3 linked regions of the Lonchura striata genome follow. The protein of the gene in region 2 interacts with the protein of the main gene of each other region in a biochemical or structural test. Links are inferred from orthologs where the notes say so. Each region holds a gene or a part of one and is shown on either strand. Other genes may lie near its edges. The genes, in order: COPRS, PRMT5 and RIOK1.

The links.
Region 1: the proteins of PRMT5 (region 2) and COPRS form a complex in vitro, tested with the Homo sapiens proteins (3 studies listed by BioGRID, with this or other methods). The link is inferred for Lonchura striata from reciprocal best matches to the Homo sapiens genes PRMT5 and COPRS.
Region 3: the proteins of PRMT5 (region 2) and RIOK1 are reported together in a solved structure, tested with the Homo sapiens proteins (2 studies listed by BioGRID, with this or other methods). The link is inferred for Lonchura striata from reciprocal best matches to the Homo sapiens genes PRMT5 and RIOK1.

The regions. Positions count from the first base shown.
Region 1 is NC_134621.1:8,028,740-8,039,092, forward strand, and holds COPRS (coordinator of PRMT5 and differentiation stimulator), read right to left. Parts: upstream 4,757-10,353; coding exon 4,672-4,756; intron 4,182-4,671; coding exon 3,930-4,181; intron 1,913-3,929; coding exon 1,743-1,912; downstream 1-1,742. Other genes in the region: UTP6 (U3 small nucleolar RNA-associated protein 6 homolog), read right to left, coding at 7,008-7,165, 7,737-7,809, 8,092-8,158, 8,241-8,350, 9,069-9,149, 9,928-10,107, 10,251-10,328. UniProt on the Homo sapiens protein: Histone-binding protein required for histone H4 methyltransferase activity of PRMT5.
Region 2 is NC_134641.1:823,943-833,644, reverse strand, and holds the start of PRMT5 (protein arginine N-methyltransferase 5), read right to left. Parts: upstream 4,453-9,702; 5' UTR 4,448-4,452; coding exon 4,341-4,447; intron 487-4,340; coding exon 368-486; intron 1-367. UniProt on the Homo sapiens protein: Arginine methyltransferase that can both catalyze the formation of omega-N monomethylarginine (MMA) and symmetrical dimethylarginine (sDMA), with a preference for the formation of MMA.
Region 3 is NC_134603.1:93,195,181-93,204,820, forward strand, and holds the start of RIOK1 (serine/threonine-protein kinase RIO1), read right to left. Parts: upstream 4,021-9,640; 5' UTR 3,933-4,020; coding exon 3,862-3,932; intron 3,023-3,861; coding exon 2,818-3,022; intron 1,313-2,817; coding exon 1,222-1,312; intron 244-1,221; coding exon 174-243; intron 1-173. UniProt on the Homo sapiens protein: Involved in the final steps of cytoplasmic maturation of the 40S ribosomal subunit. Involved in processing of 18S-E pre-rRNA to the mature 18S rRNA. Required for the recycling of NOB1 and PNO1 from the late 40S precursor.

The sequences.
Region 1 (10,353 bases), on a different chromosome or scaffold from region 2:
AGAAATCCAGCCCGGAGAGCTCACACTGCTGAGCACACACCGAGCAGGGCAGACAATTTTTTGCTGCCCTCTGCAGGGAAACCTTGGGCTTGTCATCCACAGCCGGGCCTGCACAGAATAAACAGGCTCACGAAAGAACCAGGGAGTTTTCAGAGGAATTTTTACAATTTACTGGTGTATAGTTACTTCAACAGTAATCTGCACTCAATTTATCGTTATGAATACTGGACTTATAACTGCAAATAAACTTTTTTCACCTAAAATGATGAGACAGTTATTGGCATAACTGAGGAAGTTTTGATGGAAATATTAATCCCTAGATCACTCCATCATTTGGGAATAAAAGACCAGGCCCTCTTTTTTTGCAATCTCAACAGTATGCTTCCACTCTGCTTTGACTGCTAGGTACCAAAACATAACCAGGAATGGAAAGGTACCCAAAGAAAAGCTCTTGTTCTCCTGTACTCTCTAGGAAGATATTAAGGAAATATCACTGTGTTGTTTACTTCTTCCTCCTAAACTAGTGCATGAATTGTATTGGTCTCATACACTGGATGATTTAAAGAAAAAACAAAGAAACAACAAAAACAAAACAAACAAAAAAAAAACTCACACTGTACAGTGCTTCAGTTCAGTGAGTGTCTAAACACACAGCCATGAAAATGTTTTTGCGATAAAAGTGTTGAATGAAACATGAGCATGTCAAAAGTTATTGTTACTCAGGTGCCCAGCCACTCAATCCACTTATATACTTCATTTGAGAACACTTCCTTTAACTCCAGAGCAAAGGTGACAAGGATATGGCTCTAGTTCCATCTATTTTCTTAGGGACTCTGTGGAGGTATTTTGTGGTCGCATCTCCTCATTTGCCACAACACAAACAGCAGAACAACATCAGGAAGCTTAATTCACTACTGTCTGCAGGACACTGAGTTGATATACTGAAATATATATATATATAGGCAGAGATATTTTCTTTGTCATTGCACATCTGATGTTGCATGAGAATATAATAAAGACAACTGTGGGACTCTAGGGGAATGTGCCCATACACAAGAAGATCTGATGTGGAGAAATCTTTGTTGGGAGGCAGCCTTAAGCACCCAGCATTCCTAGTGGATGGAGTATGCCCCCCTATATACCGGCACATGTATGTGCAAAACATGTATCATGTATTTGTAATTCCTTTCTGATGAAATACATAAACACAAAACAACTTGTTCCGTATTCGCCACAGGCGATTTTGTTAAACACCAGTATAAGAATCACAAATGGACTTTAGAACCATATGGAAATACAACAGATAAGCTTGAAGGAGGGAGAGTTTTTACAGCTATCTAAACCAGTCTGACAGCATCAAATTAAAAGGAAAGAAAACTAAAAGTTGCACAAAACACAGGGATCAGCATGTCAAAACTGACAGAAGCCTGGCAAACAAGCTGAAGTTTAGAAATTAAATACTTCTCCTCAAGCAATTAATTAGCAACATAGATCTACATATATAAACAAAACCTCCAGAAATGCACTGACTCCTTACACCCAGCACCTGCATTCTTGTCTCCAGAGCAAGGGTGGGCAGTTTATGAACAGCTCAGAAACAGCCTAAGCAAAACTCTGGAGATAGTGCTGCATTTCTGGCCTCAGCCAAACTCTGCAAAAAAGTCAAGGGACTTGGCACAGCTCAGTCACTGAAGAACATAATCCAGCACAGAAGCCAAACTTATTTCTGACCAGACTCAGCCTCATTCATCAGCATCATCAAACTGGCCCTTCTCAACTGCTCTAACTCGCGGTGGAAAAACAAAGCACGGTGCGTGGTGACAGCCTGGGTTGTAAAACCAATCCTCCTTCCATACATATGAGCCGAAAAGATTATTTTCCTCAAAGCTTCCACAGGAGAGATCGTCAGCATCTAAAGAAGATAAAATAAAAGGTTTAAACCATGGGAGATACTCAGGAAAGTAGTGGAAATAGTGTAGCAGGTTATTATGGAGGTCTATGGCATCTTCCAGTTCACTATTTTTATTTGATCTGACAGCACTTATGAATTAGACCTTTAAAAAAGCCAAACAGAAAACTGACTTTGGCAATGTCTTCATTTTAAGGAAGGTTCATGCCACACAAAACAGTTTTCCAGAAAGCTCACTGATATTCCTGGGACTTAGAATGTCTGGCACCAGCTCTTACAAGACATACAATTTTTTCCCATCTTCCCTGGGAATAAAAGACTCATGAAACTATCAATTTTATTTGCCTTCCCCCTTCCTGCTGCTTTCATAACACCATCCCAATGAGGAGTCCTCCAAACCCTCTAAGAGCTGGGTTGCTGGACAGAATGGGAGGGTGGGGTCCTGTAAAAGCTGTCTTAGAACAGTATTTCCACTAGGCTAGAATTAAGCCTAATGGGCCTGTATTTAACCAATCTAGCAAAAAATAGGTCGAAGTATTTTAACAGAAGCATAAAGATTTGCCAGCAGACACTGAGCAAAGAAAAAGCCCAGAGCATGGAGGACCCAACACAATATCCCACATGTCAGCCTTCCAGCAGCACTGCCAAACAAGTCATCACAGCAAGAGCTTAAGACACTTAAAAAGCCATGAAGTGACCAACCAAGTACATTTTCCTATTTGTAGCAGTTAACAACTCAGATGCTCGCTCGTATTTAGTATCCTTCAGAAGGACCCGAATCCAATAAACACAGCTGCCTTAGTTTGTGAGGATTTAAAGAGCTACAGGTGGGATGAGCAAGTTAAATAAAGGGGGAAAAAGAGGAACAGTTCCAGTACAAAATTCAAAACATTCCATAAATTTGACCATATAAGTGATTAAAATGAAAGCTCCGAATGGAAGAGAGGGAAAACCTCCAAAAAGGGAACAATCTTTTCCTCAAATTACCCACTGTGCAAAACCAATACTATATTTCCATTTTAAAATCAAGAGTGGTTTCACAGAAAGCATGAAAATCTTTCTCACTTTCTTCCATTACCAAACAATGGTAATGGAAATAGATGGAATTTAAATGGAAATAAATGGAATTAAAATACAAAAGTTTATTCTAATTATGAGATTAAAATGAACATATTTCCTAAGCAAAGAAAATTATCTTAATTACAAAAAGATACACATTAATGAGAAGAAAAAATGGAAATGGTGCTATTCTGCATCAAGAAAGACACAGCAGGTTATCAGCCACTGCTGGCTAAACCCCATCCCACCCGTTCTGTGCTAAGAACCAGCCTGGCCAATGGAGACTTTTTCATATGTGAGTCACCATAAAAACAAGTTACAAACTGGAGGAATAATTCAACTCTAAATGTTTGAGCGACACTCTTATTTGTTGCCACTTTTGTCCATGGGACTGGTCATGTGCACAACCACTTAGGAGGATCAAGCTTCAACAAAACCAAAGTCAAACAAACAAACAAACCAAAAAAACCACCAAAAAATAATAAAAAAAAAAACTACAGTAAACATAAGCCATACTCAGAGACTGAGCACTGTTCCAAACACCTCCATGCTCTAGAAAGACATTATAATTAACAATCTTGAATTTTCTTGAATAACTTTTACACAAAAAAGTTAGTTCCTGCATGCCATGTACCTTTCTCTTCTGCTTCAAAATAACAAAGATACACCACTGAAAACTTGCTTCACCAGAAAAACTCAGCACAAGCATGGAATTCACCTCCTTACCATGCCACTCCCTAGGAATTCAATTGCTCAAGCAAGAGTTCCATGTGAAATGCACAACACCACCTTTAAATCCTGTATTTGACAACAAAATTGTTCATTACACATCCAGGAGGTCAACATAACGAGAAATTGCTTCCCAAAATAAAACTTGGAGTTACTTAAACACATTCTCCTGCAAAGCACCTGCCTCCAACTATCCAAAACTCAAATGAAGCACAAGTAAACGTGTACTCACCGTAAGGACCACATGTAGACTCCTCCAATTCTTTATCCCAGTCCTCCACCTCATGCTCAGATGCATCCTGCTGCCCTGAAGACTCAGGCACATTAGAAACTTCACTATCCCACACATCCAGGTCAGCATATATATTGTACCAGCCCTCATTAGTAGAGCCACTGACATCATCTTCATTGGGGGAGGTAGAAGCAGATTCACTTTCTTCAGACTTGCCATCAGGAACATTTGGAATATTCTGCAGAAAACATTCTAAAACCAGTAGAAAGCACCAACAGATACATTCAGAAATTAAACAACAATTAAGAGTTCAGAGAGGTACAAAAATGCACTTTGTGACTACTACTCTTATTGTAATACATGCAGTTTCCCAGATATGTAATATCACTACAGAGGTGCTTCACATTTCAGATGATTGGAAAGAGTGGACATAGCCTTGCACCACAACACCAGCACAAATCAGGATTTTCCACAGACTCTTGTTGGAAAATAACTCTGTAAACTAGGGCAAAGGACACAACAGTCTTGTTTCATCACATTCACCTGTAGGTATTTTAAAAAAAGTTCTGTTTTTTTAAAAAAAAGTCATATTGATTAATTACTCATGTACCAAATAGCTACATGGAAATAATTTAGTGCAGTAAGTAAAGAGCATTTCCCAAGAATCACCAAAAGGTTTTCGGTAGATTTCTCAAGTAGTGCACAAGTTTCAATATTCACGACCTCCTTTGTTTTGTCCTACCTTTTCTGGGCTTCCCGATCATGGTTTCTGTCTTATTAGGAAGCTGTTCCCCCTCAGAGTTTGCAGCCCCAGAGGCGGCAGCCATCACCTACGAGACATTTTTAAAGAATGCAGTAGCAGCTCTGATTGCTCACCAAACTGCTACCCCGTGTGCTCCCGAGCGTCTCCATTTGTTCCCTTGATGAATCACAGGTTTAACAACAAACTGGCTTTCACTTCAGAAGGTGAGCCTGCAGAGCTACAGCTAATTCTGCTGCTGCCATCGCTCACCCTCAGAACAGCCCGTCTCCTCACGCACAGCCCCGGCCCACACCGTGCCCCTCCGGGAGGGCAGCACCGCGGGCAGCACAGGGGTAATCGCCACACGAGGAGTGGAGGAAGCGCCAACACTGAGCCAGCCGCCCTGCGGGACCCTCCGACAGCCCTGAGGGGCTGGACGCGATGCGTGGCGAGCAGGAGACCCTCAGCGCCTGTGCGGGAAGGGCACAGCGAGCTGCCCTCACTCCCAGCGCGACAAGGAGGCGGTGCGGGCAGGGCGCGGACCCCGGACGAGCCCTCACGGCGGCCCCGCCGCCCCCTCGCTCTCCCCGGGACCCCCGAACCTTGGGAGCGGGGCCCGCGGCCCGGCCCCGGGGCTCCATCGGCAGCGCCGGCGGGCGGGATCGCTGCGGCACCGGGCGGAGGCTGCAGGCACGGCGCGGCCGCTCCCGGCCCGGCCTCGGTGCCCGCAACGCCGCCCGCAGCGCCCCGGCTGCGGAGCCCACCGCGCCCAGCTTCGGAATCACAGACACGATTCCGACGGAAAGTCCTCCGAGATCGTCTAGTGCAACCATGGCCCAACACCGCCATCCAACCGAGGCAAATACAGGCGTAAGAGCTCTGAGAAAGCACTTTTTTACTTGTGAAGTTGTAAATAAAGTATCGATGTCTCTCATGGCTGGGCGGACTTTCCCCCTTGTCGAAAAATAACAATTTCCTTCCGGCCTCGTGGTAGCAGCATGCTCAGAACACGAAGAGACGGGAAGCACCTTGGCTGGACAGCTGTGGCAGGTTTCAAGCACGTGTGCTTGCAGGGCATGTTGCCCTGGGGAGAATGGCAAAGTTCTGTGAGGAACCAGAACAGCTGACAGAAAAGGGCCCACTTTCTGAAATGATGGAGTTACCAGCTTTGTTGGACTTTAAAACTCCAGACTTTGCACTTAAAAACTTTTAGTTGAGCAACTGACGAAGCAAGAAGTGGTTCAGAGAGGGAGTAAGAGCATAAGGGGCAGGGAGGGTGTAAGAGATTCTCAATAAGGAAATCTCAATGTCAGACAATGAGGTGGAAGCGAACTAGCAGGGATATAGGAGATGGCCTGGCTAAAAGTGTGGGAAACACAAAAGCAGAATGTACTTCAGATCTGGTAACAGAAGAATCTTACCAAACTGCTGCTCCAAACTTTATTTCCAGCTAGTTAAGTTACTGGGATTCATTGCTTGAGAGGAGCTGCAATTTCTACTTGAGTGTAAAATCAATAAATATTTCCCTGTCTTATAATTATGTCACCCTTCAGTCACTGGGAAATTGCACAAAGGAACACTTGTTTAATATTTTTGTACTTTCCCTACATTTCTCAGTTGATCATTTATGGTGATTTCTCAGGTTTGTGGCTCTGTAAACAGCCAAGGACAGCACCCTTTTAAAAAACATTACACGTTTTTTAGGCATGGTGGACAGAAAATTGGAAGTGTAGATCAGAGCTTTCCCCTCTCACCTCAAGGACATGGCTAACAGATCTCAGCTCCCCTCTACCCTTCATCACTCTCAAGATGCAAACACCAATGCAAGGGAGCTGCAGAGGCTGTTTCTTTTTGTCATGAGGATTACAGATTAGTTCTACGCTAAGAAGCAATAAACATTGTAATTTTACTGATTTCTGATTACCTAATGAAAAGTGTTCCACTTTTTATGATTCAGCTTCCTACAATAAAAATATGACCCACAGGTGTAGTTTCCATGGGGTTTGGTTTGGGTTTTTTGCATTTGGGTGCTGTAATATTAGCTTTCCAAAGTGTAAAAACTGATGCACTACAACTATCTGAATGTTTAAGCAGGATCAAAAGTTTGCTCTTTAGAAGTCTTGATGAAAACACCCTCAGGGGTTTGCTTCCTCTGACTGTGCACTTGAACCTGCCCCTGGCAGAATCAACACTAGAAAGAAATTACTGCAACAGAGAAGATGAGTCTTTTTTGTCACATAAAATGTAAAGGTAAACTTTAATAAAGTCCAGGAACGTATTTACCTTTGTACAAAGAAGTTAAAAAATGCAGTCATGTTATAACTATGTATAGTTTTTCATAAATGTCCAGTTTGTAATAAAGTGTATTTAGAAACAAAATCTTCCACCAGATCTCCCTGCAACATCTTCATAGCTCGCCAGTGAATGCTCCCACAGTTTTCTGGTTTGCCTTGGGGATGACTTAGCTCCTCCTTGATATAATCCAGCCAGAGGTCTTTAAAAGGAAAATGAAAGTTCTGTTTAGATTTTGACCAGATATTACTTAACAAGCATATCAAGACTCACTAGAAACTCTTTTTCTAAGTGTCTCTAATATTAATGCAGTACAGTTTACTTTGTAAGACTAAAATCTCTGGCACCTTGAGGAGCAAAAATCCTGGGTTCTATATTCCAACTGGAACAGTAATGTCTGAAGAAATAATGCAACAATAATTGTGCTGCGTACCTTCTTCAAATTAATACTGCAGAAATCTTGATTATAAATATATAGCTCCATACTGTTCATAAATCCAAATTTAAAATGATACACATCTCTTATGCCAGCCAGTGTCTGAATGTGATTTGCTCCTAATTGTGCTGAAGCCATCCCAGTGTCAGTGATCCTGGGATGACAGGGGAGAGGGTCCCTGCAGTGTCCTACTCTTAATGGCACAGAAGAAATAAGCTCCAATCTGCATGACAGCAAGCACAAGAGCAGAACAAACAGGTACATTTTAAAATGGGTGGGAATAAAAGAGGCAGCAGTGAATGAATGAATAAATAATAAAAACCAGAATCTCCCTCACCAGTATTTGTTGAGCCAAACTCCCTCAAGGCACGTTCATAATATTCTCTCAGATGAAGCATTCTGCAGGATTCCTAAAAAAGGAAGGTATTAAAAGGCCACTTATTTTGTACAGAAGTGAATCTGCAGCATGATTCGACTGTGACAAAGAAAGAGAGTAATGGCAATTACATGCACACACTGCTGAAGATTAGTTACTATGGAACTTGGGTTTGTATCACATCCTGTGAATCAAGTGCAGAGGACAAACATGAACTGATCACAGACTAACACCACCACTCTGCTTCCTATTTAAATCCCAGGTTAGAACTGTACTTTACAAATACAAAGCATTAATTGGATAGTCAAGAACTTACTTGCTCCTTTTCTATTTGGATCATCTTCCTGAAGAAGTCAAGTGAAAATGGACGATCTTCACACAGGCTGAAATAAAATAAGTTACTTTAGATTTAAGGACTTCTAACATATACCCTAGAATAATCAGGTTTGAAGGTATTTTTTTTACCTGGTAAAGAGTCTTTTAACTTTCTTATAACCACTATTTCTGTAAGTCCAGTCAAGGTACCTTTCTTTCATAGTCACAGATTCAGCAGGTGTTGTGGCACGTAAGGATCTCTGCAAGTTTAAAAGGAAAAAAAAAACAAAATAAACAAAAAGTAAACCTATCACATAACCTACAATTAAATAGCTCAATTAGTGCTTCTCCCTAGTTAGGCATCTGACACAAAGGAGATCTCCTAAATCTAAAACACATTTCTCCTCCAGTATTCTATATGGCTGGAACTGACATTTCCTTAAACCCCTTATTGCAAAGGGTTTCACAGTACTCTACAAACAACTGAATTCAAGCTTCCACCTGAAGTACATGTTTTATGTGGCAACTGGGAGGAAGAAACACAACCCAATAAGCCAGGCAAAGAGAAAATGTTTTGTCCTACACTACTGACGAAATCCATAGAGAGATTAAAGTCCTCATTCTGATCTTGACTTTTCTGTAACAAGACTGATGTTTTCACAAAAACTGGAAAATTCTCTTTTCTGTGCTCAGATAGGTATCTGAAAACAGAGCAAATATTCTAGACCACAAAGTAGGAGTCCATCATTGGCTGTGCTTACAAACATCCATATTCCTTAGGACATGGGAATGACACTTGTGCCTGTAAGTCTATGACCAACTGGTTTTTTTAATGCACGTAGTTTTGCTTTAAATTCTTTGACATCAATACACACATGAACAAACTTCAGGAGAAAGCATTTGTTGCATGTTCCATCCACACACATTGTTTCACGTTATTGACAAAGACATAAAAGTAGATTTCGATTAGCTAAGTACCTGGTAGAGAGCTTCAGTGTCTTCCTTGCTGTTTGTGCTCTCACTCCACTCCACCCAGAGGGTCCACAATGGCAAAGTGCCCTACAAGGTCAGCAAACAATCATAGCAGAAATACAGTGACTGACTTACAGAAACAGACAGCAACACAGCCATCAGGTTCTGTACTACCTGCCATAAAAAACAGCCTTTGGACACAGCTCTTGGAAAGACAACTTTGAACTGCACACTGAAATCACTTCTCATTTCCTTCCTCACTTACAGGATAAATCATCCTTAGCTGGACAGCTGTGTTGCCAGGGACAAGAACCAAGTTCTGCACCTCTGAGCACTGCAGTACACAGAGGTGACTTCCAAGAACAAAAAAGGGAAGAAACCTTCTTATTTCCTCGCTCATTGTGTTCAGTGTTTAAAATGGAACAGAGCAGGAGAGTACACAACTAATTCAAGGCTTGAAATACCACACAGGTGTATCAACAGTGAAGAAAGGGAAACACATTTTTCCATTAAGACACAAACACCAGCTCACTGCTAGGAGATCAAAATATCAACTGTAAGCATTCAGACTTTAGACATGTGAATTTTAAGTGAATTGACAATTCCCTAATACTCAGGAATACAATTTGCATGTGAAACATCCAAGTTCTTATTTCTGACCTTAAAAATGGTTAGGAACTTAAAATGCCTTGTAAACAAAACAAAACCAACAATAAACAAAAACAGAAATCAACAACAACAAAAAAAACAAACCCACACAAAAAAGCCAAAACAACAACAACAAAGAAAAAAATGAAGAAAAAGGCAGAAAAACCCCACAAAACAACCAATCATCAGGGGTTTCTGGCCCAAGACCAGCACAGACCTTAGATTTCACATGTTTAATGGCTTCTTCAAAGCACTGGGTCACATCATCACTCTTCAGCTGGATCAGCACGCGCAGCCTCATCTGCCACGTTTCCACGGACTGGCTGAATTGCCTGGTTGCAGCTTCTGCCACCTCCACAGCCTTCTCAGAGAGGCTGGAGTCCAGTAAGAGCTGAAGCTAAAACCCAGCAGAAACAGCTTTGTTAAAAAGCAGAGCTTTGAACCAGTATCATTCATCTTTGTGTCTACTCAAAATGGCAAAGGCAGGCACACGAATAATGCAGGAAAACCTCAGCTTCTATTTGTTCTGTCAGTTCTTACCCACTGCTTGTAGAGAGCTTCTGACAGCAAATTGGACTCATGGGCTTTGCTGAACACACTCAGTGTCCTCTCCAGCCTCTAGAACCAATAGAGAAGAATAAAA
Region 2 (9,702 bases):
AGTATAAACCAGTACAAACCAGTACAAACCAATGCCATACCAATACCCAAACCCGACTTTAAAGCCGATTTTTCCCCATTTTTGACCCTTTTAGTGCCCCAAAATCCCTGAAAATTGCCCCAAAATGGCCCCAAAATGCCCTCCCAGTATAAACCAGTATAAACCAGTATAAACCAGTATAAACCAGTACAAACCAGTACCAAACCAATACTAAAATCCGACTTCAAAGCAAATTTTTCCCCATTTTTGACCCTTTTAGTGCCCCAAAATCCCCGAAAATTGCCCGAAAATGGCCCCAAAATCCCCTCCCAGTATAAACCAGTACAAACCAGTAGAAACCAGTATAAACCAGTATAACCAGTCTCACCGCGGCCGGCCAGCACCAGGTCGGAGCGGGTCTGGGGTCCCGGGCGGTCCCGCGCCGGCGGCGCCGCGAATTCCCGGCGGTGCCGAGGGTGGAAGAGCGGCAGGCACAGGAAATCGAAACTGGGCAAACTGGGATTACTGGGAAGCCAAACTGGGAGGGACTGGGAGGGACTGGGAGGGACTGGGAGGGACTGGGATCAAACTGGGATGGACTGGGAGGGACTGGGAGGGAACTGGGACAAACTGGGAGGAATTGGGAGGGACTGGGAGGGAACTGGGAGGGACTGGGAGAGACTGGGAGGGAACTGGGAGGGACTGGGAGAGACTGGGAGGGAACTGGGAGGGAACTGGGAGGGACTGGGAGAGACTGGGAGGGAACTGGGAGGGAACTGGGAGGGACTGGGAGAGACTGGGAGGGACTGGGAGAGACTGGGAGGGACTGGGAGGGAACTGGGAGGGAACTGGGAGGGACTGGGAGGGACTGGGAGGGGACTGGGAGGGACTGGGAGAGACTGGGAGGGAACTGGGAGGGAACTGGGAGGGAATTGGGAGGGACTGGGAGGGACTGGGAGGGACTGGGAGGGACTGGGAGAGACTGGGAGGGAACTGGGAGGGAACTGGTTTGGGGTTTGGGGTGACTGGGATGGACTGGGATCAAACTGGGAGGGACTGGGAGGGAACTGGGATGGACTGGGATCAAACTGGGAGGGAACTGGGAGGGAACTGGGAGGGACTGGGAGGGACTGGGAGGGAACTGGGAGGGAACTGGGAGGGACTGGGAGAGACTGGGAGGGACTGGGAGGGAACTGGGAGGGAATTGGGAGGGACTGGGAGAGACTGGGAGGGACTGGGAGGGACTGGGAGAGACTGGGAGGGAACTGGGAGGGAACTGGGAGGGAACTGGGAGAGACTGGGAGGGAACTGGGAGGGAACTGGGAGGGAACTGGGAGAGACTGGGAGGGAACTGGGAGGGAACTGGTTTATACTGGGAGGGACTGGGAGGGAACTGGGAGGGAATTGGGAGGGACTGGGAGGGACTGGGAGGGACTGGGAGGGACTGGGAGAGACTGGGAGGGACTGGGAGGGACTGGGAACCCGAACTGGGCAAACTGGGAGGGATTGAGATCAAACTGGGATGGACTGGGCAAACTGGGAGGGACTGGGATGAACTGGGAGCCCAACTGGGCAAACTGGGACGGACTGGGAATCCAAACTGGGCAAACTGGGAGGGACTGGGATCAAACTGGGAGGGACTGGGATCAAAGTGGGATGGACTGGGATGGACTGGGAGTTACTGGTTTGAACTGGGAGTTACTGGTTTGAACTGGGAGTTACTGGTTTGAACTGGTTTGAACTGGGCACATTTGTTTTTTGCTTTGGGGATCCCTGAGGGGATTTGGGGATCCCGGAGATTTTGGGGGAATTTGGGGCAAATTTGGGGAATTTTGGGGAATTTGGGGCAAATTTGGGGAATTTTGGGGAATTTGGGGCAAATTTGGGGAATTTTGGGGAATTTGGGGCAAATTTGGGGAATTTTGGGGAATTTGGGGCAAATTTGGGGGATTTTGGGGGTCCGTGAGGAGGATTTTGGGGCAAATTTGAGCAATTTTGGGCAATTTGGGGCAAACTTGGGGAATTTTGGGGATCCCTGAGGGAATTTGGGGCAAATTTGGGGAATTTTGGGGAATTTGGGGCAAATTTGGGGAATTTTGGGGGTCCCTGAGGGAATTTGGGGGTTCCTGATGGAATTTGGGGCAAATTTGGAGAACTTTGGGAATTTCTGAGGGGAATTTGGGGCAAATTTGGAGAATTTTGGGGATTCCTGAGGGAATTTTTGGGGATTTTGGGGCTCCCTGAGGGAATTTTTGGGGATTTTGGGGTTCCCTGAGGGAATTTTTGGGGATTTTGGGGCTCCCTGAGGGAATTTTTGGGGATTTCAGGGTTCCCTGAGGGAATTTTTGGGAATTTCGGGGCTCCTAGAGGGAATTTTGGGGGATTTTGGGGCTCCCTGAGGGAATTTTGGGGTATTTTGGGGTTTCTTGAGGGGATTTTTGGGTATTTTGGGGCTCCCTGAGGGAATTTTTGGGGATTTTGGGGCTCCCTGAGGGAATTTTTGGGGATTTCAGGATCCCTGAAAGGATTTTGGGGCAAATTTGGGAAATTTTGGGGATCCCTGAGGAGATTTGGGGATCCCTGAGGGATCTCAGGGAATTTTGGGGATTTCTGAGGGAATTTGGAGCAAATTTGGGGATTCTTGAGGGAATCTGGGGCAAATTTGGGGAATTTTGGGGATTCCTGATGGGATTTTAAGATTCCTGAGGGGATTTTTGGGTAAATTTGGGCGATTTTGGGGAATCTGGGGCAAATTTGGGGGATCCCTGAGGGAATTTGGGGATCCTTGATAGAAATTTGGGGTCTCTGAGGAGAATTTGGGGCAAATTTGGGGAATTTCGGGGATCCCTGAGGGAATTTGGGGCAAATTTGGAGAACTTTGGGAATTTCTGAGGGGAATTTGGGGCAAATTTGGAGAATTTTGGGGATTCCTGAGGGAATTTTTGGGGATTTCAGGGTTCCCTGAGGGAATTTTTGGGGATTTTGGGGTTCCCTGAGGGAATTTAGGGGTATTTTGGGGCTCCTAGAGGGAATTTTTGGGTATTTTGGGGTTCCCTGAGGGAATTTTGGGGATTTTGGGGCTCCCTGAGGGAATTTTTGGGGATTTCGGGGCTCCCTGACGGAATTTTTGGGGATTTTGGGGCTCCCTGAGGGAATTTTTGGGGATTTTGGGGTTCCCTGAGGGAATTTTGGGGCTCCCTGAGGGAATTTTTGGGGATTTTGGAGCTCCCTGAGGGAATTTTTGGGGATTTTGGGGTTCCCTGAGGGAATTTTTGGGGATTTCGGGGCTCCTAGAGGGAATTTTTGGGGATTTCGGGGTTCCCTGAGGGAATTTCGGAGTATTTTGGGGTTCCCTGAGGGAATTTTTGGGGATTTTGGGGCTCCCTGAGGGAATTTTTGGGGATTTTGGGGTTCCCTGAGGGAATTTTTGGGGATTTTGGGGATCCCTGAGGGAATTTTTGGGGATTTTGGGGTTCCCTGAGGGAATTTTTGGGGATTTTGGGGTTCCCTGAGGGAATTTTTGGGGATTTTGGGGCTCCCTGAGGGAATTTTTGGGGATTTTGGGGTTCCCTGAGGGAATTTTTGGGGATTTTGGGGCTCCTAGGGGGAATTTTTGGGGATTTTGGGGCTCCCTGAGGGAATTTTTGGGGATTTCGGGGTTCCCTGAGGGAATTTTGGGGATTTTGGGGTTCCTAGAGGGAATTTTTGGGGATTTCAGGGTTCCCTGAGGGAATTTTTGGGGATTTTGGGGCTCCTAGAGGGAATTTTTGGGGATTTCGGGCTCCCTGAGGAAATTTTTGGGTATTTTGGGGTTCCCTGAGGGAATTTTGGAGTATTTTGGGGTTCCCTGAGGGAATTTTTGGGGATTTTGGGGCTCCCTGAGGGAATTTTGGAGTATTTTGGGGTTCCCTGAGGGAATTTTTGGGGATTTTGGGGCTCCTAGGGGGAATTTTTGGGGATTTTGGGGCTCCCTGAGGGAATTTTGGAGTATTTTGGGGTTCCCTGAGGGAATTTTTGGGGATTTTGGGGCTCCTAGGGGGAATTTTTGGGGATTTTGGGGCTCCCTGAGGGAATTTTTGGGGATTTCGGGCTCCCTGAGGGAATTTTGGGGTTCCCTGAGGGAATTTTTGGAGATTTCGGGGCTCCCTGAGGGAATTTTTGGGTATTTTGGGGCTCCCTGAGGGAATTTCGGGGCTCCCTGAGGGAATTTTGGGGTATTTTGGGGTTCCCTGAGGGGACCCGGGCACCTCCCGCGCCCTCCGGCCCCTTTGGGAACACGAGGCGCGCTCGGGGTTCGGTTTTTGGGGTCCCGCGTTGGAATTTTTGGGGGTTTTTTTTGGGATTTGGGGTTCCGCTCTCACCCCTGCCTGGCCACGGCCCCCAGCGCTCCCGCCACCTCCGGCACGCAGCTCAGGTCCCGGCCTGAGGAGACGCGAGCGGCGCCCGCCGCGCCCGGCCCCGCCGCCATGGCTGCGCCGCTGCTCCCGCTCACCCCCCGTCCCCTCAGGCGGCGGCCAATCAGCGTCGAGCCCGCCTCCCGCGCAGCCAATAGGAACACGAGGAGCAGTTGTCAATCACAGCGCAGCGTTGTGCCCGCCCACAAAAATCGCCGGGAGCCAATGGGAGAGCGCGGAGAGCGGTCAATCACAGCGGAGGCGGGAAAAACGCAGCCAATGAGAGCGCGGAGGCGGCTGTCAGTCAAGGGAGTGGCGGGTTACCCCGCCCATGGGGGGCTGTCAGCCAATAGGAACGCGGGCTCGGTTGTCAATCAACGCGGACACAGAGGGGGACGCCCACAAGAGGCACTGACCAATCAGAGCGCTCTGCGAGTTGTCAATCAGAGTTGTGGGTGATGGGCGTGGCCTGTCTGCCAATCACAGCCCGCCAGCCAATCGGCGAGCGGAAAGAGCTGTCAATCATCCTCTGGGCCCCGCCCCGCCCCGCTGGCAATCATTTCCCAGGAGGATTTTGGGATTTTTGGGGATTTTTTTGGGAATTCTGTGAAATTCCTGTCAGATTTTGAGCAGAATCTGGGATTTTTTTGGGAATTCCGTTCAATTCCAGGCGCATTTTGGTCAGAATTCAGCATTTTTTGGGGACATTTATTGAAATTCCCGCAGATTTAGGTTAGAATTTGGAATGTTTTGGGAATTTATCAAAATTCCCAGCAGATTTTTGGGCAGAATTTAAGATTTTTTAGAATTTTTTGGGAGATTTACTGATTTTGGGCATAATTTGGGATTTTTTGGGAGATTTCTTGACATTCCGGTCAGATTTTGGGGAGAATTTGGGATTGTTTGGGAATTCTGTTCAATTCCAGGGGGATTTTGGTCAGAATTCGGAATTTTTAGGAATTTTTTGGGACATTTATTTAAATTCCCGCAGATTTTGCTCAGAATTCAGTATTTTTTGGAGATTTTTTGAAATTCCCGACAGATTTGGTCAGAATTCGGGATTTTTTGGGAGTTCTATGAATTTCCTGTCAGATTTTGGGGAGAATTTGGGATTTTTGGGACATTTATCGAAATTCCTGTGGATTTTCTGGAGAATTTTGCATTTCTTCGGAGATTTATTGAAATTCCCACAGATTTGGTCAGAATTTGGGATTTTTTAGGATTTTTCAGGACATTTATTGAATTCCTGCAGATTTTGGGCAGAATTTGGGATTTTTTTTGGGGACATTTATAAAAATTCCCACAGATTTTGGTCAGAACTCGGTATTTTTTTGAGATTTTTTTAAATTCCCACAGATTTTGGTCAGAACTCGGTATTTTTTTGAGATTTATTTAAATTCCCGCAGATTTTGGTCAGAAATTGAGATTTTTTGGGACATTTATTGAAATTCCCATTGGATTTTTCCCACCATTTCCCGCCCTCAGTGCCAAGCCCCGCCCCCAGCTGTCAATCATCCTCTGCCCCAACCCAGCTGTCAATCATCCCTTGCCCCACCTGTCAATCATCCCCTTCCCCAGCTGTCAATCATCCCTTGCCCCACCTGTCAATCATCCCCTTCCCCAGCTGTCAATCATCCCTTGCCCCACCTGTCAATCATCCCCCCGCCCCACCTGTCAATCATCCCTTGCCCCAGCTGTCAATCATCCGCTTTCCCCAGCTGTCAATCATCCCTTTCCCCAGCTGTCAATCATCCCCACCCCACCTGTCAATCATCCCCTGTCCCAGCTGTCAATCATCCCCTTCCCCAGCTGTCAATCATCCCCCACCCCAGCTGTCAATCATCCCCCACCTCAGCTGTCAATCATCCCCTTTCCCCAGCTGTCAATCATCCCCTTTCCCCAGCTGTCAATCATCCTCTTTCCCCAGCTGTCAATCATCCCCCACCCCAGCTGTCAATCATCCCTTTCCCCAGCTGTCAATCATCCCCTTCCCCACCCCCAGCTGTCAATCATCCCTTTCCCCAGCTGTCAATCATCCCCTTTCCCCAGCTGTCAATCATCCCCTTTCCCCAGCTGTCAATCATCCCCTTTCCCCAGCTGTCAATCATCCCCACCCCAGCTGTCAATCATCCCCACCCCAGCTGTCAATCATCCCCTTTCCCCAGCTGTCAATCATCCCCCACCCCACCTGTCAATCATCCCCTGTCCCAGCTGTCAATCATCCCCTTCCCCACCCCCAGCTGTCAATCATCCCCTTTCCCCAGCTGTCAATCATCCCCGCCCCGCCCACACACGGCAGGCAGGGCGGCGGGTGGGCGTGTCCGGCGGCATGCTAATGAGCCGGCGGTGACGTCACGGGGGGGCGGAGCTGGCGCAGGGCCCAGCCCCTCTGCTCCGAGTGCCGCCGGATCCGGCCCAGCTCCAGCGCCAGCGCCCGGAACCCCGGGCCCAGCGCCCGCAGCGCCCCAAGCTCCGCCCCCAAGATGGCCGCCTCGGCCTGCGCGGCGCCGCGCGCCTCCGACAGCCCCGCCCTGCCGGGGAAAAGGGGCGGGGTTATGCTAATGAGGGGCGGGGATATGGTGATGAGGTGGGTGGTGATGGTGATTTGGAGTGGGGATGTAATGGGAGGGGTTATGCTAATGAGGGTGGGGTTATGCTAATGAGGGGGGGGATATGGTAATGAGGGGCGGGGATGGTGGTTGGTGTGGGGGTGTAATGGGAGGGGTTATGGTAATGAGGTGGGGTTATGCTAATGAGGGCGGGATTATGGTAATGTGGTGGGGGTGAGAAGGGATTTGATGTGGGGATATAATGGGGCGGGGTTATGCTAATGAGGTGGGGTTATGCTAATGAGGTGGGTGGTGATGGTGATTTGGTGTGGGGGTGTAATGAGGGAGGGGTTATGGTAATGAGGGGTGGGGATATGGTAATGAGGGGAGGGGATATGGTAATGAGGGGCGGGGGTGATGGGGGCTTGGTGTGGGGATGTAATGAGGGAGGGGTTATGGTAATGAGGTTGGGTTATGCTAATGAGGGGAGGGGATATGGTAATGAGGGCGGGATTATGGTAATGTGGTGGGGGTGAGAAGGGATTTGATGTGGGGATATAATGGGGCGGGGTTATGCTAATGAGGTGGGGTTATGCTAATGAGGTGGGTGGTGACGGTGATTTGTTGTGGGGATGTAATGAGGGCAGGGTTATGGTAATGAGAGTAGAATTATGGTAATGAGAAGTGACCTTATGGTAATTTGGTGTGGGTATGTAATGAGGCTTGGTTTATGTTAATGAGCAGTGAAGTTATGTTAATTTGGTGTAGGCATGTAATAAGGAGGTTATGGTAATGAGGATGGAATTAGGGTAATGAGTGAGGTTATGCTAATTTGGTGTAGGTATGTAATGAGGGAGGGGTTATGGTAATGAGGATGAAATTATGGTAATGAGTGAGGTTATGCTAATTTGGTGTAGGTATGTAATGAGGGAGGGGTTATGGTAATGAGGATGAAATTATGGTAATGAGGTTTAGGGCTATGGAAATGTGGGTGTGTTTATGCTAACGAGGTGGTGTCATGATAATGAGTCAATGAGGTATGCTAATGAGATACTGTAATGGTGATGAGGGCGGGGTTATGCTAATGAGGTGCTGTCATAATGGTGGCAGAATTATGCTAATGAGGCACCATTGCGGTAATGAAGCGCAGGGATTCGGCTGTTTTATGCTAATGAGGTGTGGTGACTTCGATATGCTAATTAGTGGGTGTGGTCATTGTAATTGTTATGCTAATGGCAACGAGTATGCTAATGAGGGTGGTACTAATGAGAGGGTTATGCTAATGAGGGGCAGTGTTTTATGCAAATGAGGAGGCATGGCTACAGTATAGAGGGTGGTGCCTACATTATGCTAATGAGGGGGTGTGGCTATGGCAATGAGCCAATGACATTGCTATGCTAATTAGGGGCGTGGCCGTGGCAATGTGGGTGGAGCTCGCATTATGCTAATGAGGGGGCGTGGTCTCGTACCTGATTCGCCGGTGGGCCTCGATGGTGGGGGCAGGGTAAGTGTCCAATAGGATTTGCAGCTCCTCCAGCCTGATGAATATTCATGAGAGTAATGAGGGGGTGGGGCTGGGGGGGATTTGGGGTTACTGGGATGGACTGGGACGAACTGGGATGAACTGGGAGGGGATTTGGGGTCACTGGGATGAACTGGGAATGGATTTGGGGTCACTGGGATGAACTGGGATGAACTGGGAACAGGTTTGGGGTTACTGGGATGGACTGGGATGAACTGGGAGGGGATTTAGGGTTACTGGGATGGACTGGGATGAACTGGGAGGCGATTTGGGGTCACTGGGATGAACTGGGAATGGGTTTGGAGTCACTGGGATGGACTGGGATGAACTGGGAGGAACTGGGAACGAGGTCTGGGGTTACTGGGATGGACTGGGATGGACTGGGAGGGACTGGGATGGACTGGGAATGGGTTTGGGGTTACTGGGATGAACTGGGAATGGGTCTGGGGTTACTGGGACAGACTGGGAGGGGATTTGGAGTTACTGGGATGGACTGGGACAAACTGGGATGAACTGGGATGGACTAGGAATGAGGTCTGGGGTTACTGGGATGGACTGGGATGAACTGGGATGAACTGGGATGAACTGGGAGGGGATTTGGGGTTACTGGGAGGGACTGGGACAAACTGGGATGAACTGGGATGGACTGGGAGGGGATTTGGGGTCACTGGGATGAACTGGGAATGGGTTTGGAGTCACTGGGATGAACTGGGAATGGGTCTGGGGTTACTGGGATGAACTGGGAATGGATCTGGGGTTACTGGGATGAACTGGGATGAACTGGGATGAACTGGGATGAACTGGGATGGACTGGGATGAACTGGGAGGGGATTTGGGGTCACTGGGATGAACTGGGAATGGATTTGGGGTCACTGGGATGGAGTGGGATGAACTGGGATGAACTGGGAATGAGGTCTGGGGTTACTGGGATGGACTGGGATGGACTGGGATGGACTGGGAACGGGGTCTGGGGTTACTGGGATGGACTGGGATGGACTGGGAGGGACTGGGATGGACTGGGAATGGGTTTGGGGTTACTGGGATGGACTGGGATGAAGTGGGAATGGGCTCTGGGGTTACTGGGATGAACTGGGAATGGGTTTCGAGTCACTGGCATGAACTGGGAATGGATCTGGGGTTACTGGGATGGACTGGGATGGACTGGGAGGGACTGGGATGGACTGGGAATGGATCTGGAGTCACTGGGATGAACTGGGATGAACTGGGATGAACTGGGACTGGGCTGTGGGGTTACTGG
Region 3 (9,640 bases), on a different chromosome or scaffold from region 2:
CTTTGGGATTATTCCATTTGGAAACCAAAAAATGGAAGACCAAAGGGCAAACTGCATGTAGACTTCTTCTAAACTTCATTTTTCTTAACAAACTTTCCTTAAACAAGGAAATACGCACTATACTTCTGAGTTTAAAGTATTTAAGTGAAAATAGAAGCATAAGTAATACTCACATGTCTGCTTCCTTCTGTCTAGACTTTTCTGTGACTCTGTTTATAACAGAGTCATCAAAATTTAGCTTATCTGAAAAACACATAAGTGATGAATAAAAAACCAGAATTCCAAAACTCAAAGAAGTTTCCTACACACCAGGGTTAACCTAGAACTTCACTCTGTTTACATTTCAGGTTAGGACTATAAGGTAACAACACAGATGAGTGAGACAATTCCAGAGACTTGGAAATGTGATACCAATAATGCCTTTTGGATAACCATTAAATTTGTCTGTTCTTCTCTTATAACAGTTAAATACTATTTTTCTTAACACAATAAGCAATAGCCTCTCAGACTCTCTTCAACAATGCATTTAAATGGTGTTTGATTAAATGCTAAACGTATAAAAGCTGCTGTACTGGGCTACAAATACCAGCAGCCTTCACCCTAGCACCACTTTCTTATAAAGGAAAACCCTACCTCTGATCTCAACCCTGTCAGAAGGTGCCAATCACACCTACCCTAGTCCTGACAGGCTATACTGAGCAGCCATCTCCATCTCAGGGCAAAAATCAAACCACACCAGCTGGGACAGCAGCCTCTTCACTTAGCACAGGAACTCTGCCCCTGAGAGAGAACTGCTGCATCATGTACCCCCCACCCCCAATACTACAGGGGACTGCATTTGTCTAGAAAATGCAGCTGTGGTAGCAGCTGTGGGAATCACCAATGCCACAACAGAGAGTTGAAACCTTCCGTCCACCCAAACAGCTTGTTCCTACAGAGAATCTAGGGAAGAAAGACTTCATGTTGCCTGGAGAAATTAAGGGGAAAGAAAAAGCCCCAACAAAACAGCCATGTAGTTCTGAAGGTGGAGGGGGGGGGTATGACACCCAGTTCTTGGAGACTAAAGGCAACTTCAAGTACTCAAAAGCCATTTTTAATCTCTCCGGCAATGGCTAACTCACCCATTCCAGTGAGTTCTGGCTTAACATGAGTGAAATTAGTCTGAGAATGCCACAGAGTGGCAACTGTTTAAATAATGGACAATAGTGCAATTATACTCACCTAAATTGATTTTGTGTTCAAATTTTCTTAAAACCTTGCCTGCAGGGGTTGACAGTTTTGCTGAAGAGCAATTAAGTGTCTGCCTATTTGCCTGAAATAAAGGATTTGTTAACATAAGTCATGTTCTGTACACAGCCCTTTTTAATTCAAACCATTTCATTGGAAAAGTCATCTCAAATGCCTATGCCTAAAGCTGTAAGATGAAAAGCACATGAGATATAAGGAAACAGATATGGATTAACACCAGATTTTATTTAAATCAAGAAAAGAAAATACAAGTTACACATCAGTTAAAATTCTAAAAGTCCTCCACCAGAGTAATCTTTTAGTCTAGGAAGCTACAAGTCTCTCACAGAGCACTTTTTCTGTCTGTAAAAGGAAGAGAATAGAAAATCTAAAGAAATAAAGTAAGGAAAAAATGCAGAGGTAATGAACTGAGAAAACTTTCCATGATTTTGTCTTTTCTTACATGTGGTCCTCCCCAAACACAACTAATACCTGAACATGATTTCACCATCATTGAACAGCATAAACCTCTAAATAAAGGCAATATACCACCCAGGACAAGCACTGCCAGACATGCTATGCTGTGATCAGCACCACTCTGATTCATCTCTACTGTTCTACTAAGTTGGTAGCAATAAGAAAAATGAGGTTTTGAACCTGTAGTGTCCAAGTTGATGTGAGAACTAGCATCCTTCTTTACATTCATGAGTGCTTTTTATTCTGCACAACGCCAGTGTCACCCTGCTCTTTCAAAAATTTTAAAGTTCTTTTAGAAGTTTTCTATGCCTTCTGATGTTTACATATTTCTACTGGAGTTTCTCATGCACTGTCATGTAAATAATGATTGTTTTGCATTCTTTGTGGGAAGAGAGAATTGACAGACTGTTGGTTTGACTAGTGTGGTTGGAGAGGTGGCAATTTCTTCCTCCAATCCACTGTCACTTTTGGAATTCTATATATTGCAAAGTCAGAAATAAAACTTACTTCCTCTTACTCTTTTGATCTTAGAACTGTGTATAAGTTATTTTGTGTTGTAGTGCAACATGCCAGAGTTTCTATGCCAACACCATACATGCTAAATGAATTCACTCCAAGCACCCCCAGCTCCATTTCGCATGCTTGTAGTTTTCTTCGCCTTCTTCACTATTAAGTCAAAAATAGGACTAGATTCACCCTGCATGTGATTAGCAGATAGTCTAAAAATAAATAGGCTGAGGAAGATGCTCAGAAACACAGAGGACAAATACCAAAAAGTTAGGAACATTGGTAGAGATCAGGGTGAGCAAAGAAAGAGAAGTTGAGGAAGGTAGGGAAGAGAAGGAAACTGCAGTAGAGACAGACACAGAGAATCCAGCAACAGGGTTTGAGACAAGAAAATCAAACTGAGCTCCGGCTACAATGTACATACACATACAGCACCTCAGAGGAACAGATGCAAAGGAAGGGGATTCTCTCAAGGAAAAAATTCTGAAAAAACACTGAGCTGTTTGCATCTGTACTCAGCATAACACTAACAAAAAACAAAGCCTCCGGGCTGGCCCCATTACCTCTTGGGCACCCTCAAAGCCCACAGAATGACCTCCAGCATACCTGTGGATTGCATCCACCAGCAGCATTGTGGCGCTTTGTGAGTCTTCCCACCTCATCATCCCAGTCCCAGTCTTCATCATCCTCTTCAGCATCACTGTTATCATCACCATCTCCTTCTTCAGCATTAACTTCTTCACACGTGCATAACTGGCAGCTCTCAGGGACCTCACCCTCTTTACATGATTCTGTGTCTTCCACAGAGTCACTTAAAAGAAACACAGATGTCTCTATAACTAAAAATTATTGTTACAGTCACCAAAAATTCAATACACTTATCCCCATAAATGACTAAATTTTCAGTTGGATCTTAATTCACTGAGTCCAGTTCTGAGGCCTTCTATTCAGGAAGGATATTGAGGTGCTGGATCAGGTCTAGGAAAGGGAAATTAAGCTGGTGAAGGTTCTGGAGCACAAGTCCTACGAGGAGCAACTGAGGGAGCTGAGGGTGTTTAGCCTGGAGAAGAGGAGGCTCAGGGGGGACCTGATCGCTCCCTAAAGCTGCCTGCAAGGAGGCTGTGGCCAGGTGCGGTCGGTCTCTTCTCCCAGGCAACAAGTGACAGGAAAGGAGGACACGGCCCAAAGTTGCACCAGGAGAATTTGGAAGAATTTCTCCACAGCAAGGGTGGTTAGACATTGGAATGGATTGCCCAGGGAGCTGGTGGAGTCACCGTCCCTGCAGATGTTTAAGGAAAGACTGGACTTGTTACTCAGTGCCACGGTGGTGCTGGCTCACAGCTTGGCCTCGATGATCTCTGAGGTCTTTTCCAACCTAATTGATGCTGCGATTCTGTAACGTCAATAACGTGTCACGGCTTTCTGCCAGGACAAGTGTCCGAAAGCAGCACGGGAAATGGAAAAGGGAAGCCGAGAGACACACGCAGCCTTCCCTCTCACCTCCTCCGGTAACGCGGCAGCACCACCCGCTCTCCCTTCCCCGCCGCCCAGGGCGAAGTCACATCCCGGGCAAATCCCGGGGCTGCTCCGCGCGTTCGCCTGGCCCGCAGCCCCAGCGCCCGCAGCCCCGGCCCCTCGGCGCGCCCTCACCTGTCCGAGCAGTCCGCATCGTCGAACTGCCCGGGCACGACCTGGCTCATCACCAGCGCTCGGTAATCCATGGCGGGAGCCGGGAGCCGGGAGCCGGGAGGATCCGGCAGCCGGGATGCCCGCGGGACGCAGGCGCCGGCCCGGCCGCTACGGCGCCGCCAGAGGGACAAAAGCAGCGCGGGCGAGCGCGGCCGGCACGGACCCGCCCCAGCGCCGCTTCCGCTCCCGTTCCCATTCCCGTTCCCTTTCCCATTCCCTTTCCCGATCCCGACCCCGTTCTCATTCCCGTCCGCTTGCCGGGCTCCTGCGCAGGGCGGGCCCGGAGCCGGCACACGGAGGGACTTTTACAAGGGCTTGCAGTGGGGAATGGCTTCACCCTGAAAGAGAGTAGGGTTAGATTAAATGGCGGTAAAAAGTTCTTCCATGTGAGGGTGGTGCGGCTCTGGAACAGGTGCCCAGAGGATCTGTGCATGCTCCATCCCTGGAAGTGTTCCAGGCCGGACCGGGCTCGGAGCGAGCTGGGCTAGTGGAGGTGTCCCTGTCCACGGCAGGGGGATGGAACTAAATGAACTTTAATGTCCCTTCCGACCCAAACCATTCTGGGATTCTCTGAATCCCTGGCAGCTGCCGATACGTCAACAATGAGCTGTGGCACATCTCTATAATATTCAATAATATAACCTTAAAAACAGTGCGTTTTCAAGCCCTCAATTCTTGACTGGGAATGACCATTCCTGCCACAGATTCATGGTTGTTTTCCCTAAAACACAAGTGATGATCTGTGTCCTATGCAGTAGATACTGAGAAGTTTTATTTGGTATACTCTAAAATATTAAATTCCAATCTTTATTAAAATAAAGCTCTAATTGAAGCCAAAGGAATTCCAAATTTGCAGGCCTGGCTAGAAGCATCTTAGCTCCTAACACTCCTTGCATTGAATAACATTATATTCTGTTTACATACCGACATAATGTAGGATTAGGAAAATAAAAGTGAGTGCTGGGCTTTTGCTATCTGGTACATGACTACATTTTAAAATGCAGTCTCTTTTTTGTAGATGTTTTTGCATTATCCAAGTGGTATGTATAAAAGCTATGGAAAAACTGTGATTGTGCAGAAAACATGCATGCTTGTGTAGAGACACCTTTAAAAGAGATTTAATACAATAGGTGTCATTTGCATCTGCAACACTACCATAAAATCAGTTCTTTGAGTCTCTGTGCTCATTTTCCCTAATGCACAGCCACCTACAACAGAAATTGGATTAAGATCACCTGTTTACTGATCTTTCTTTTAGAACCAGGTGTTGAAGGACTCTTAATCCATGTGGGTTAATCCATGTGCATAGATACTGTTCTACAGGATTATTTCACTCTAATAAATTATTCAGTGCTCTTAAGTAAATATGTCCATTTATTGTAATGACAAGAGACTGTTGGAAACATAATACTGCCAGAGGATTTCCACACTCATTTTTATTCCTTCAGGCTTCTGCAAAGCTTTTTTGACAGCCTTAGAGTGCAGCACACAATTTTTGTCCCAGGTTTTAAGAGCTCCTTTGGAAGCAGGCACAAACTGTTCTACAAGCAATTCATCTTCAACAGGGTAAAGGGAAACAGTCCACTAGCAATGGTGATACTTTCAGAAGGAGAATGATAAAAGTGTCAGAGATCTACCAGTTATCACCCCTAATCCATGGGAGGACAGACCTCTATCAGACCATGCATTTCCCTTGGACCACTGTAGCTCCATGTCACATGAGACTCCAAAAGAAATACTACCTCTCTTACTCTTCTTGTGGCTACATTGTTATATTTCCTGAAGACTGAGTGTAAAAAAATGTTTGTTCACACTCAAAGATGCACTAATTCTGTACTTAACATATTATGTAGGACAGGTATATATTCTGTTCACACTGAAGCTGGGAAACTGCTGAGACCATACTCAGAATCACTGGGAGAACTGCAGTGTTGCTCCTTCCTGGAAGAAGACTGACTTGAGAGGAGCATCAAGAGCTTCCTTTTCATATTTGCAGGATGAAATGTACAACTCAGTGGCAAGAAAAGATGCTGCTTGCCAGCTCTGTGAAGCAACCTGTGCTTCTGAGCCCATCTTGGAAAATCTGACAGCAGTATGTTCTTGTTGGTGAGGCTAAACGAGAGGGATTTCAAGTGCCATGTGCTAGGATGAGCAAGTTTTAGTGACATTTATCTAACACACTCCCCTCCCCTGCCAAAGTATGCCACACTGTACTTGGTGGTTCACAGTGCTGTCTGACAGAACTTTAGCTGGTGCAAAACCTGTTTAAATCAACAGACTTTGTTAGATTTTGAGGTCAGCTCTTACTGCCATGGCATGAGTGAAGCACATGAACAATATGGACTGTACAGAGCATGGAGAAACAAGAGAAGGGGGAACAAAGCATGGTCAAGGGACTGTTAGGTGATTTATACAAAAACCTATCTGAAAATGGCTATGTCCTGAGCAGTTATTACAGCAACGCAACAAGTGACCAGGATCTTCTCTGTCTCATGCAGTATGATTGATATTCCAATATTCTAGGATATATTTTCACTTTATACAAGACATTGGTTTAAATGGAATAGGCACACATATATATAAAAGAGAAATTAGCTAATATGATATTTGAATACTGCTGTGAACATTAATGTAGTTCCATCATATTTTTAATAGAGGACTCGTGATGAAAAAGGATACACACTGAGGAGGCCAAGTGATGCATTCATTAAGTTCCAAGCAAAATACCTATTTTCCTCAGCTGTATCTTCTCCATGAATATTCTCTGAAAACACTGTGGAAAACTTAATTCCTCTCAGAAAACTACAGAGTTCCAAAGTCATAGAAACACTTGTTGTAGAACCAACATACCTTTCTGCATAGTCGATTGGAAGCAGTCTTTGGGTGTGGATACATTTTTTTCCCAGAGAAGGAACCCCTAGGCAAGGAAGAACAACCACATCAAAGGAGAATGTTGGGCTGGCAAAAAGAAAACAATACTAAAAGAGAATGCAGGAGCCTGGGAGATGTTTCATTGCCAGAATAATTATCAATTAAGCCCGTTGTAGGTCCTCATGAAGAGCCATTTGCAGAAATGTGGAGTCAGTGCTGGACTGTATTATTAATGTAGCCTCCATAACAGACATGTCTCATTTTCTCCCTCAACCCTCTGTCTCTCTATTCAAGACATTCTCAGGTTTTGATACTGAGAAAAAGCTTCCTGGGGAAGATAATTTGAACTCAGCTAGCAATACTTTCTTTCCAGAAGAAGCCATGGTAAGATTCCATGGAGGCTTGAATGATGAAAATACCCTTCTCTGATAAAATTAGTAGTAGTAGTTTTTTTGCACTTATATTGCAAAATTTTATATGTAAGTGCCAGGCCTCACAGATGTATAACATAAAAGAGAAGTGCTAAGAATACCAAATGCAGGTGCTGGAGTTGTTCCTAGAATTAACTAAGTAATGAATTTAGGGAATAATGCATTTGCATTGCAGTTCCTATTCTGATTACACATTATTTAAAATTTTAATTAATATTTAAATTATGTTTAATTACAGTTATTATAAATTTAAAACTAAATTTAATTTAAAATTAAATTAAAATTCAAAATTAAAGAAGTTACAAATTACATGCTTTTGGTAGGCAGCCACTGGACAACAAACATAGCCTCCAAACAATTGGAGAGAGAATAACATGAGTATATAATCTTATTCTTTCCATGAGAACATAGTGCACATACCAGGCCTGACACAGTCAAACAGAGAAGTGAAAATAGGTATAAAGAGCAGTGGAATGCACTACAACAAAAGAGGAAGTACTCTCAGATGGTTTCCACCACTCTAAAATGCTTTTTATTTTTTTATAGTTTTCTTTTTTTTTTTTTCAGTTACAGGTGGTGTAATAAAAAAAAAAGTAAACCAAATCATTTAAATGTGGTGCATCAAACTTGGCTCCTGTTCATTGCTAAATTTATTATATATCTAGGAAATTCAGTAAAAAAAAGTATAGTCTTCTTTTGACAGACTAACTCAGTAGCATTTCAAACATGTTTTTTGCCTTCTTTCTTTGTCTTCAGTGAGTAAAATCTCCCTTTAATCAGTCTTCTCAAAATTCAGTAAAGAGACCAATTCATAGAGCATGGAACACTTTTTTATTTCTTTTTTTTTTAATGTTAACATTTATTTACTTGATTTTCTAAAATCAAAGGGTTTAGCTAACGGCTGAATTTTGATTTCTTGGTGAGTTTTGTTCCCTTTTTTAGAATTCTTACTTTAAAATCAGGGATTACTGTACGTTAGGCCAAAATCTGAAATACACTTTTAGACTGGTCACTCCACTGGAACTTGATATAAGTGCAAGGACTGTAGACACTGTATAAGGGTGAACTTCTTAATTTTCATAATTTTATAATTTTCCCCACATTGACTTATCTTCACAGATGGAAATTTCCACTGAAGCTGGTGAAAAAATAGTTTGCAGAAACTGGACAGAGGGTGTCACCTCTTCTTTTGCAATAGCAGAATAACACAACTCCACTACTGCAGTAACAGGATGGGTGAAGTTTACTCACATTTGTCCTCATTTGCTTTTCCACCTTCTCTGAATAGAATGCTGTCAACCCATGTGGGCTCTCCTTCTTCTAATTAGTTGGTGATACAAAGTGTCACTCCCCCCAGGAAATGCTGAAAGTTGGTAAGGACTCTTTGCTCCAGCATTTTGGGACATTACTTGATGCCAAGGAAGAATGAAAACAGCGAGATAAATGAAGGGATAAAGTCGACCCCATTAAAGGGATTCTCTCCACCCACAGAACAGGGAGCTCCTTACAGCTCCTCCTTATACACAGCCCAGTCTTATCGTCCTTTTCCCTCTTTATGTACAGCATGATTTGGGTGGAGAGATGAGTGATAGTCATATATATAGTAGGATGTTCTTCATTAGCTTGTTAGCACATGCAGGGACGCCTGCTTTAATCTTTCAACAACAGTTAATTCAACAGAAGTTACTTTTTGACCATTGTGTCCTTCAAAGTTTCAGTGATACAACTTTGTTTCGCTCCTCAGAGCAGGAACAGGACTTTCCTCTCTCCACAGGCCTCCTCCTTCGGCCAGCTCAGCCTTTCTCCGTGTCAGCTGCACAAATATCCATCTGCAATGATAACATGGAATGCACACAGTGCATCCACAGAACCCTTAGCCCTTGCCTGACTCCTTGGTCAGCGTCCTGCAGCGCGAGGGAGGAACAGGAGGACACACATAGAAATGGCTCCTGTCCTTGCAAACAAAATTCCAGGGAGAAAGGGATGACAAGTTGGCAGAAAGTCAATAGCCACTATCTAAATGTAACAAGCTGGTTCCTTGGCTTAAAATCCTGCAAGCAGAACTTGAAAATGAGCAAGCTGAGATAAAGAAATCACAACAGATTTGTGAGTTCAGAAGGGAGAGCCAAAAGCTGCAGCAACAGAGGGTGAAAGACCAAGGAAAAACCATATCCTGCAGCTTGAAACCAATGGAAAGAGATATGATAGAGAACCACAGACAGCTACAGCATAATTCTGATACTGTAAGCACCGGAAGTATCTATAATGCACAATCCTAGTTGCCATTTGTAGCAGTTGCCAGTTGCCAGGTGCAGCAGTTCCCCTTCCCTTCTAGGGACAAACTTCCAGATGAGGGTCCAAAAAGCTACTTGCAGAACTTTAAAGGTAAGACAGTGTCCTGAAGTCCTTAACTGAGTCCAAGCATAGAATTCTGTCTT